3 linked regions of the Canis lupus familiaris genome follow. The protein of the gene in region 2 interacts with the protein of the main gene of each other region in a biochemical or structural test. Links are inferred from orthologs where the notes say so. Each region holds a gene or a part of one and is shown on either strand. Other genes may lie near its edges.

Region 1 (2,838 bases), on a different chromosome or scaffold from region 2:
CTCCAGACAAGGTAGGCTGCTGGACAGCGCAGCCACACAGAGAAACAATGAGAAAACAGACAGGGGCTCTACTTAGGACTGCAGACAACACTTGTTCATCGAGAACAGGGGTAGGTTCAGGAAAACTGGCAAGTGGCCAATTGTCCCCAGCGGCCCTGGTGAAATCAGGTCACTTCTGTCCCAGAGAGGGCAGAGCTGGTGGAGCTGTTCTTCAGGGCGGCCCAGCCTCTCTCCGCCTCACCTCACTCGGCCAGAGCCAAGTTTGTGGACTGCAGCCGCTCTGTCTCCTGGCAGATGTTCTGCTCCACAGTGTCACACTCAGCCAGGAATGCCTAAAACGTGAATGCAGGGCAGTGAGGGACCATCCAGGACTAGCCATTCCCTGCCCATACAAGGCTCTTGCTCAGCCATTATGGGGAACCCCTGGGTGAATGATTTAAAACAGGCTATAGAGGAATGGAGCCAGCCTGGGCTCCCAGATAAGGGGAGGGAGGCAGAGGCCAGTGTAGGAGCAGGGTTTCTGACAACAATCCTCCAGAGGGGTGGTGAGGACAGGAAGCCTTGCCACTGTACTGCACAATTTCAGGGAACATGAATAGTGCCTCCTGAAATTGTGTCATATGGCAGCTATAACTGCTCTCCAACAATCTTCCTCCCCAATTAATTTAAATTCAAATACAATTACAGGGACATGAAAGGAGCTCTTCTCTTAGATTCTGGACTCATGAAATAACAACCAAAAAATGTCCATACCACACATCACACTTTTGCCCTACCCTACTCTGAACAGATAAACACACACATTAAACTTTGAATGCTTGATCACACAGCTCACCTGAACCCTTTTCACCAAACCCTTCCTTTTCAGTCTACTGTCTTTGAAATTTTCCGGCAGAATCTGTGGAAGAATAAATTGACACATAAATAATCTCAGTAAGAATGACATAACAACATGATGAAATACCCACAGTACACCAAATGCATCATAAGTCACCAACATGAACGAGACTTGCATTTTCAGGAATGATTTCCTCCCTTGATCTGTATTCCACATGGCCCTTCCCATGGCTCTCACCCCTATAAAAGCTCCCTTTGCTCTCAGTGTCTGGGCCATGGAAACTGATCTGTACCATGGACTTTGTCCTTTCTCTCCTTTCTATGTACAGATACTACGTCCTGGCCATGCCATGAGCTCACTGTGCTTATTCTTTACAACCTCCCTCACTCCCCGAGAATCCTATGCAGAGTAATTCACCCTCAAAAATGAGGCATCTAGCTGGAAATATCATTACCATCTTTTCTGTAAAAGGGATCATGGAGTTGATGATTCCCAATAGTCTCACAAGAGACTGAGTCTGGCTGAATTCTTTACAGATAATGAACCCAATGGAATCACCAGTCATATGAGTATCATGAAGCCCTCTGTTTCTCTGGCCATAAAATCACAGTCCATTTGGGTTCCAACTTTGTGAGGATTAGATGCTTTTAGGAAATATAAAAATGACAAAAGCCCTACGTTGGTGGATGTGACTGCTTAAAAATCAGGAACTATCTTGTCTTTCTGTGTATCTACCAAGGACTGAGCAGTGTCTCGCACACAGCAGGTGCTCAATATCCTCAGACAGTAAGAGTGCTTTACTGAAAGAGTGAAACTCACTGAAAAAGAGTCAAAGGAGGGCAGCCCAGGTGGCTCAGCAGCTTAGCGCTGCCTTTGGCCCAGGGTGTGATCCTGGAGACCCGGGATGGGGTCCCGCATCGGGTTCCCTGCATGGAGCCTGCTTCTCCCTCTGCCTGTGTCTCTGCCTCTCTCTCTCTCTCTGTGTCTCTCATGAATAAATAAATAAAATCTAAAAAAAAAAAAAAAAAAAAAAAAAAGAGTCAAAGGAAACTAGTTCTTCTCAGCTGAATATTTACTTACCAGTGTGTCAATCTCTTCCAAGATCTTCATAAATTGCTCGATTGTGGCTTTTACTCTCTTATCAAGTTTGCAGAGAGCTTCAGCTTGCAAATCCTTGGCCAGAAAACCCTGTACAGGAATAATGCATTCTTGCAAGGGTTCCTTGAGGCTGACAGAAAACTTCATGCCAAGGCACTGATGAAGTAGCCACACACTGAGCCCACATTCCCCCCAATAGGCTAGTCCAGACCTCAAACCCAGAATTTCATCTCTTGGAAAAAACAGAGCCACCCAAAGCACTGTAATAGGCTGCAGGCCACTATCTCACACGGCCCACTGGGGCTGCTAATGCCTCCTGAGCCCTGGCTCCGATGAAGCCTTCAGTCACCAGTGTATACCCACATAGAAGCAGATGTTAAGAACATAAGGTGTAGGGATGCCCGAGTGGCTCAGTCCATTAAGCATCTGCCTTCAACTCAGGTCATGATCCAGGGGTCCTGGGATCGAGCCCTGCCTCAGGCTCTCTGCTGAGTGGGTAGCCTGCTTCTCCCTCTGCCTGTCAATTCCCCTGCTTGTGCTCTCTTTTTCTCTCAGTCAAATAAGTAGATAAAATCTTTAAGCCACAAAACAAAACAAAATACAAGGTGTAGAGTCTGATAGGCCCAGGCTTGAATTCTGTCATTTACTGGCTTGTGATCTTGTACAAGTTACTCAACCTCTCTGAGCCTTAATGTCCTCATTTTTATTTATTTTTTATTTTTTAATTTTTTTAAAAGATTTTATTTATTTATTTATGAGAGACACACACAGAGAGAGGCAGAGACACAGGCAGGGGGAGAAGCAGGCTCCATGCAGGGAGCCCAACGTGGGACTCGATCCCAGGTCTCCAGGATCACACCCCAGGCTGAAGGGAGCACTAAACCGCTGAGCCATTGGGGCTG
Region 2 (4,093 bases):
TGGCCTATTATGTTCCTAACATGCAAACAAAAGCCCTCCCTCATGTAACATTTTTCTATTTTTAGGCAGGTTACTAACAGTTTTATCTGAAATTAAAATATACTATAATCTACTACTAACAAAATACCTGAAATAGTAATTTAGAGTTATTAACTGTATTTTCCATTTAATAAGTAACCTAGTACTTCTGGAAAAGTCAAATTTAACTTCCAAGAAGTTGATGTTTAATGTTCTGAGCAAACCATCTACTTTGGATTTCACAAATGGCATGTTTTAAACTAAACACAACTAGTTTCAGAGCAGTTGTAATACAATACGTGATGTTCCATTCTCCATTTCATCTTTTAGATACTTTTCATCATAAATAACCAGCTTAGTCTGTTTTCCTGTTTTCTTCTGCTAAACCAAATCCCACAAAATATATTCAAACGTATTTCACTCAAGCCTACTTTGAAAGCTTACACTTTTCAACTACTGACAAAAGTTTTAACAAGGCTAAGCAACCCCATTACAATTTTTAATCACAAACACCACATACCTAAAAGATAAGCTTTTCCAGCAGAAACACTAACAGGTTTATTTTCCCAAGTATCCAGTGTTCAATTGGGTCAAATGTTTCTGTTGCATTTTAAACAGCACAGCCCATGAAGTGATAAGGATGAAGACAAGCCAAAAGTATTTTAGCGTTCTTCAGTGGCATATAATCATCACAACCCAAGAAAAACTCAGGAACTGCTAACTGAAGTCTGTTAAGACCAAAATAAATGCACTTTAGCATATGCATTAATCACAACAATACAACGATTTGGGGTAAATTATGCTTATAGAGCTAATGACTTTATAACAAAATTGGAAACCACGGAATCATTGCAAAGCAAGTTTACTATATACAACATACTTAATAAATTAAAAATACTTTCGACTGTTTCACATAATCTCCCAATTCCTACATGACTGGGGAGTGTGGTTTTTATTGCCAACGGCCATTTAAAATACAGTATTAGCAGCGTGCACTACATGCATAAAGTCAACATTTTGGTGAGCAAGTAAAACCTTAGAAAAATCTTTTACTAGAACACCTAAGAATATGAAGATCAGTTGATTCACCGCTGTGTAAGCGCAAAACATCTGACATAAAGCGCTTATCAAAAATGTTCTTAAATGAGTTTAACAAAGTAAATCTTTTCAATTTCTACCAGCTTCAACATCATCAAGACAAGAGGAAAATGAGTCATCACCATGAAAAAATTAGAATATTCATTTAAAATAATCCAAATTAAATCAACTAGTTCACTCTCTCCAACAAAGACCCTTTACAACCTTTCTTTTAGACCCTCCTCCCTCACCGCTTCCTTCCTGAGCCCTAGATGACTTGCTGCGCCCCAAAGTCATCCCAACTCTTGCGTGTCTGTGCCTCTGTACCAGCGGCTCCCTCACCTTAGACTGCGCTCCCCGCCTCCTCACCTGGTAAGCATTTACTCATCAGTCAGTCCAAAACTGGCCGCAAAAGTTCCCTCCAGTGTTCAGGCTTCCTCGACTCCCCCAGGCAAAACTAGCAGTTCCAAATTCCCACTACGCTCGGTAAGTCCATCCTTATCACAGTGCATTGTTTTCACGCCTTGGGAAAGAAAGACGAGCAGGTTCCCTCCACTCAGCCCACAGAGGACGAGGCAAGCAGAAATACTCCATGAACGTGAGCTGAATTCGTCCCTTGGATTAGACCCTCTAGAACCCGGTCACATCCCAAGCAGACAGAGGGGCTTCTAACACGCTTCCCACCGGAGAAATGAATACCAGAGGGCACACCCAGGGCCCTGGAAGGAGAACAATGAATGAACACAGCCGCCTCTCCGCTCCTGATGTCCAAACTCTTTCTGGGCATCGACTAGCTCTGCAAAACCTCTGCAGCTGCAGAACCGAAGCGCCCTGGCGGATCTCACTTTACACAAAAGACAGCGCTGGATCTTCGTTCCAAAGCATCCCAGGGCCAAACCTCAAGATACGCATTCCAAACCTTTCATCAGTGACCCACAGAGTCCCCAAACCCAGGGCAAAGCCCCCTATGCCTTTGTTGGTGGGGCACTGACCCACCTCCTCTCGTCCCCGATTCTTCTCGTCCCCCCTGCAAGGGTGTCACTTGAGGGACGGCCTCGGACCAGATGCGCGACCGCGACCCCCTCCGCGCCCAGAAGAAAAAGGAATTAGTCCCTCCGAATGACAACACCTAGAACAGGGCAATTCTGGGGCGGACTTCTCCCATGGCCAAAATATAAGGAATGTGCACCGAGTACAGGGTGGCGCTAGCACGTCTCCCCGAAACACAAGGAAATTGGAGTGGGGATGTGGAAAGTCGGCTCGCCGGCCATGACACCGGGCCCCAGGGCGCCCGCCCGCCCAGCGCCACCCGGGGTGACAGCGGCCTGGCCCGGCGCTCCCCCGGCAGCCGCGGGGAAGCTCCATCAGCGCGGCCCAGGCCTGGACGCCGCGGAACTCTGCCCCCTCGGCCCCGCCGCCTGGCTCCCCCGGCACCCAGGGCCCGGCCCTGCCGCCCACCTGAAGGAGCCGAGCCGCCTCCGTGTCCCGTCGTCCGGCGGCGGCGTCTGGTCCGCTCCTCCTCCCCGCGGCGGGTGAGGGAGCGGGAGGCGGTCACATTCGGCGCGTCCCCAGCCCAGGGGACGGGGCCCCGGGCAGTCCCCGCATCGTCGCACTCGCGCTCCGCGCCTCGGGGCACACGCCCCAAAGCCGGGCCAGCTGGCCCTCTTCCGGGCCCAAGGAGAGCGGCAGGAGAGCCTTCCCGTCTCACGCTCGCCCTCGTCTCACTCCCGCCATCTAAGATGGCGGCCCCAACGCCCGCGACGAAGAGCCTCTCGGGCGGCCCCGGCAAAGAAGCCCTGCATTCGGCGCTCCTCCTCCCGACCTGCGGCGCCACCGGCTTTCTGCTTCTGCGCGAGCCGGCCTGGCCGCGGACGGCACACTTGGCTCGGGCATCTATCACTCTAGCCTGAACGCGGGCCCCGCCTCCCGGGGGGCGTGGCCTCGCGCTGTCGCCCGTCGCCATTTCGGGGCCGTGGGGGCGGTGGGAGCGGTGGTGGCCGGCGCCCGGGAGAGGGGGTAGGAGGCCGGGAAGAGCCGGGGTTTGGACTCCCCGGAGGGCGAGAGGCGTCGTGGCGAGAGGAACGTCTCCCCTTTTTTTTTTTTTTTTTTTTTTTTTTTTTAAGTTTCTTTATATAAGTAAGTAATCCCGACAGCCTGCGTGGGAGGCGAACGCGAGTCTCCGCGATCCGGAGTCCCATGCTCGGAGCCCGCCAGGCCTCCCGACCAGAGGAGTTGTCTGAGCCTCAGTTTCTAGCAACTTCGCTTTTCTAAGATGCTAATTTTAGAGACCTGTGTACCCATGGCACACGCAGGCATGTGCTAAGATGTGTGTTGCCCTATTGTTTGCATTAGACACGACACTGGAAAAGATGTGAGTTAATTGAGTGGAATAACTAAGCAGCGCTACGTCCGCAGCGCGGGGGGCAGGGGCGGGGGGTGGGGTGGGGCGGGGCGCTCCCCCTCCGCCCCGGGCTCAGGTCGGGATCCCGGAGTCCCGGAATGGAGCCTCGCCTGGGGCGCCCTGCGCCGCCGGGAGTCTGACTCTTCCCCCAGCTTGTGCTCTCTCTCAAATGAATCTCTGAAAAAAGAAAGAAATGAAAGAAAGGAAGGAGCAGGATCTATGCACGGATTTTTTTTTTTAATCCAAAACATTACTTTTTTTTTTTTTTTTTTGGTGAGTAGAACGTTTTGTATGCTACGTTCTTACTCGTTCCAACACAGGCACACGAAACTACCCAATGCCGTGTGCAACGTTCATTTGTTTAAATGTTCTATGAGAGCCTGTTGTATACCACACATTGTTCTGGGTATTGGGAAAGCCACAATCAGAAGCCCTACCTTCTAGTTTATAACAGAGACCGAAAGTAAAAATAATAAATTCAAATAGTAATAACGTGCAGTGTATAGAAAAATGAAGGTGAAGCGATGTGAGATAAAGACAACTCCGTGAGGACCGACAGGAGAATAAATACAGAGGAAAGAGCAGAGGGCATTGAAT
Region 3 (4,275 bases), on a different chromosome or scaffold from region 2:
CGTGATTGGAGTACTCTCTGGCCTAGATTATCCCTAATAAGATTTTCCTGAAACTATCTACCAAGTGTTTCTAATATATGTGTATAACGATGTTCATTTCCTTGATATTTATAAAAAGGAAAAATCAACAAAAAGCATGAATGTCCAACATCAAGAGAATTGTTGAATAAATTGTGGTGCATTTAGAAGTCATTAAAATAATGATCTATTTTTTTATATAGTCTATAATGGTAGAATTTATTTTTTAGAAGGAGGCTTACAGGGAGAGAGATAGAATCTTAAGCAGGATCCACATCCAGCACCAGCCACAGGATCCTATGATCTTTAGATCATGACCTCAGCAGAAACTGAGTATGAGGCTTAGCCAACTGAGCCACCCAGGGTTCTCTATAACGGAGTTTAATGCAATTTTTTGGTGAATAAATGGAATGAAATTATTGTTACTGATGTTTATATCCAAATAGTGGAATAAAAATTTTTACTTTTAGGTTTTTTCCTCTGAATTTTCTACAATGAACTTGTATATAAACACTAAAAACAAGAGAATTTTTTAATTCCCTAGGCAGGAGAGGTTATCACTGTCAATAGCTGTCCTAACATCAACAGGATAAGGACTATTAAATAGTACCCATTATATTTAGTAAAAAGAAAGCATTTGTTGGCCACCGGGAGAGCAGTTTTGGCAGAGGTAGAGCCCCTTGTCAGCAAAACAGGAGTTAAGAATGGTTCGAAAATTTAATTAAAAAAAAAAAAATCACTTCCCAGGAATCTTGTTTGCACCAAGCAGGGGCAAGGAGATCAAATATATGTGTAAATATATTTGCGCGTTGAGAAGAATGCTCAAAAGTTCGACACAGGCCCTCTCATGCAGCAGTTACCAAAACAGTGAGCATGCGCAAAAGTACAGAGAGGCGAGAGCAAACAAGCTGGCTGTGAGAAGTGGGGAGAATAGCAAGGCTTTTTCTGCACTTAAAAAATAGACAAAGAATCCTGCAAAGTGGTAAAACAAAACAAAACAAAATTCAAAGCAATTTTTGTTTCATTTCTTGAAACAAGGGGCCTTGCAAACCGAGCCACAGCTCCCATGGGCCCCGGCGGCGGCGGGTAGCAAATTACTCACGCTGCGAACAGAAAGGCAAAACCTACGCGTTGACCCGGAGCACGAGACGCCTCGCGCTACCCGCTTTAACCAATTAGAGAGCAGAGTGGGTCGGGCCTCACCTGTGATTGCAGCAGCCGGTGGGGCGGGACTGGGGCCCCGCGCCTGCGCCTCCCCAGCGCTGGGCCCGCGCCTCCTCCGGCCAGTTTGCTGACTGCTGGCAGTCGGTGCTGCGTGCCTGTGTCCCGTCTGCAGAAACTCTTCCCTCTCATCTGCTCAGCTCGGCTCCGTGATGCCGGTGGACCTCGGCAAGTGGTCCGGGCCTTTGAGCCTGCAGGAAGTGGAGGAGCGGCCGCAGCATGCGCTGCATGTCAAATACACCGGGACGGAGGTCGACGAGCTGGGCAAAGTGCTGACGCCCACCCAGGTACCCAAGGGCGCAGGGGGTGCAGCTGCTCGAGGTGTGGAGCCGGCGGGGCGGGGGGCCGGCGGAGGTGGGGAGGAGGGTCCGGCCTGCGCGCGCCGGCTCCTGCGAGGGGAGGGCGTCGCGGTGCCCACCCCGCAGGCCTAAGGACACCTGCGGGCACCTGCGGGCACCCGCACGTGGCGGGCGGGCTCGGCCTGCAGGAGACAGTGATCTACTTCCCGGGCACTTCAAGGCGTAGGCTGGGGCGTAGGCCCAGAAACAGCTCGGGGCCACGGGCAGGGGGCCTGGCGCGGGGGCGAGGAGGCGGCGGTGCCCGAGAAGTGCTGGGTCGTGGCCACCCCTTGGGCTCCAGACCTCCCCTCAGGTCTCAGGATTTTAGGCCTCAGTTTGGGGAGCAAAAGCCCCATCCGAAGGCATGTGACGCATTATGTAACCGGTGACCAGCATCGCTCAGCGATTCTTCCTTTTGTCTTCGCGGGCTAGGGCACGAAGCCACCCAAAGCTAAGCAAGCCTTGTGCAGCTGGAAGGCTCTAGGGCAACGGCCTTGTTCTGCCGTTTGGCGCGCGACCAGGTCAGGTTCTGGCGACCGCAAGTAGGAAAACTAAAGCGTCCAGTACTTGCCAGTTGTTGGTCGTGAAACTCCGGGACAATGATGTGAATCAACTGCGCTGACAGTTTATTGCTTTGGATATTTACACAGCTTATTGCTTTAGATGTTTAAATATAAAGTGCCCCTCTGGCAGCCTGCCATTTTCCCGGATGCACTGTCCAGTCTGGCCACCTCGACTTTCTCATTTTCTGTGCACTTTTAAGTGTCCAGTTAATTCAGATTTCACTTTAGCAGGCCCTAGCTCAGCTGCTGGTCACCAGATCTAGAAACTCGGTCATTCCATACCATATGAGGTTGTAGTTTGGAAGACTCCATCACCACCAGGGTTGAGATCCTTTCTGTTAATAACATGCCAGCCCTATACTGTTGTTGGAACTAAAATAAATTAATGTATATTGAATTTAAGCTCCTGGCTTTTAGCAGAGTCAATACTTTAGCGTTTATTAATAATCTACTGTGTTTTACCTCTGAAGAACCTGAAATCAAATAGCGTTGGCTTCTTTTTTTTTTTTTAAGGAGTTTTTTTTTTTTTTTTTTTTTTTTTTTTATGATAGTCACAGAGAGAGAGAGAGGCAGAGACATAGGCAGAGGGAGAAGCAGGCTCTATGCACCGGGAGCCCGATGTGGGATTCAATCCCGGGTCTCCAGGATTGCGCCCTGGGCCAAAGGCAGGCGCCAAACCGCTGCGCCACCCAGGGATCCCTAGCGTTGGCTTCTTCAGCATTTTTCTTTTTAACTCCAAAGTGGTTCCTTCCTACAGGTTAAGAACCGGCCCACCAGTATTGCATGGGATGGTCTTGATCCAGGTAAACTCTACACCTTGGTCCTGACAGATCCAGACGCTCCCAGCAGGAAGGACCCCAAATACAGGCAAGTTGAGGAAAGATTGGGAAGCACCAGGTCATCCAAGTATGATCTGGTGCTTCCTGGCAGTGTGTAAAACCCTTGCTGGACATGCTGTGCCAGCAGAATTAGACCCCGTTTGGGATGGTTGCACCCACGCTTAAGCCATTTCCTCCTCCTTCAGTCCCTAGAGCAGGAGTCTGGAAACTATAGTGGAGAGCTACATCGGCCCAACACCTGTTTTTGTATAGCCTCATGGGCTAAGAATGGTTTTTACATTTTTAAGTGATTGAAATTGAAAGAATAATACTTTGTTAACGTGTGAAAATTACATGAAATTCAAATTTCAGTGTGCATGGCAAAGACTAAAACGTTTATTGTCTGGTCCTGTGGAAAAAAATTTGCTTGATACTGCTTAGAGCATCTTGGAGGGAGAGAAGGAGGGAGGGGGGTACGGGGCCCTCTCTTCTACAGACCAAGTGAGGTTTGTGCCTACGAGGGCAGGACTCTCAGTCTCGTTCATCACTGCAGCCTAGTTCAGAGCATGTGTTTCATTGCATGTTTCACAGCATGCTGGCTGTGCAGTGAGTGTGTACTTACTTCCTGTGGTGCTGTCTTGTGTTCCTCGTCCTAGGGAATGGCACCATTTTCTGGTGGTCAACATGAAGGGCAACGACATTAGCAGTGGCACAGTCCTTTCCGATTATGTCGGCTCTGGGCCTCCCAAGGGCACAGGTCAGTAAAGGTTGCTTTGTGGGGGAGGTGGGAGTGGCAGTGTGTACACATTAGGATTGGCCCAAAGGGCTGCAAAGTTTAGTCTGGTTCTCCCAATCCCTTAGCCTAGCGGAGCTTTCAGACAGTGTAGTTCACCTTCCGGGCAGTGGCCTGCCAGAGACATTGACACCTACAGTAGCATCGGGTGGCTAGAATCTTGGGTTGTGGTCAGGTGGATTGTCCATTAGTACTGCCTCTCAGCCACTAGGTCTTTATATGCGGGAAAGTCTGAGAGAGGATTCTAAGGAAGCAGTGTTGCAGAAAGCTTGGAACAACTTTCAGGAGAGGTGGGGGCTGGGGGGTGGGGGGTAGGATGTGCTGCTGCACATGGATTGAATGCAGTTAACCCATCTAAGTTCTGTATTCAGCCTTTGACCTGTGGGATCTTTGAGTTTCCACTTCCCACAAAAGATCTCAGAAATGATCATAGTTTCCTAATTATAAGACATTGGCTTCTTTATCTCTTTGTAGTTCCGTTGTGTCAAAAATCTAGGGTGGTATCATCTTGAAAAGATTTGGAA

The links.
Region 1: the proteins of RAF1 (region 2) and BAG1 form a complex in vitro, tested with the Homo sapiens proteins (2 studies listed by BioGRID). The link is inferred for Canis lupus familiaris from reciprocal best matches to the Homo sapiens genes RAF1 and BAG1.
Region 3: the proteins of RAF1 (region 2) and PEBP1 form a complex in vitro, tested with the Homo sapiens proteins (3 studies listed by BioGRID and IntAct, with this or other methods). The link is inferred for Canis lupus familiaris from reciprocal best matches to the Homo sapiens genes RAF1 and PEBP1.

The regions. Positions count from the first base shown.
Region 1 is NC_049232.1:50,587,440-50,590,277, forward strand, and holds part of BAG1 (BAG family molecular chaperone regulator 1), read right to left. Parts: intron 2,027-2,838; coding exon 1,919-2,026; intron 899-1,918; coding exon 836-898; intron 333-835; coding exon 243-332; 3' UTR 1-242. UniProt on the Homo sapiens protein: Co-chaperone for HSP70 and HSC70 chaperone proteins. Acts as a nucleotide-exchange factor (NEF) promoting the release of ADP from the HSP70 and HSC70 proteins thereby triggering client/substrate protein release.
Region 2 is NC_049241.1:5,965,705-5,969,797, reverse strand, and holds the start of RAF1 (RAF proto-oncogene serine/threonine-protein kinase), read right to left. Parts: upstream 2,920-4,093; 5' UTR 2,554-2,919; intron 747-2,553; exon of another isoform or gene 539-746; intron 1-538. UniProt on the Homo sapiens protein: Serine/threonine-protein kinase that acts as a regulatory link between the membrane-associated Ras GTPases and the MAPK/ERK cascade, and this critical regulatory link functions as a switch determining cell fate decisions including proliferation, differentiation, apoptosis, survival and oncogenic transformation.
Region 3 is NC_049247.1:14,854,826-14,859,100, forward strand, and holds the start of PEBP1 (phosphatidylethanolamine-binding protein 1), read left to right. Parts: upstream 1-1,391; coding exon 1,392-1,526; intron 1,527-2,897; coding exon 2,898-3,007; intron 3,008-3,614; coding exon 3,615-3,715; intron 3,716-4,275.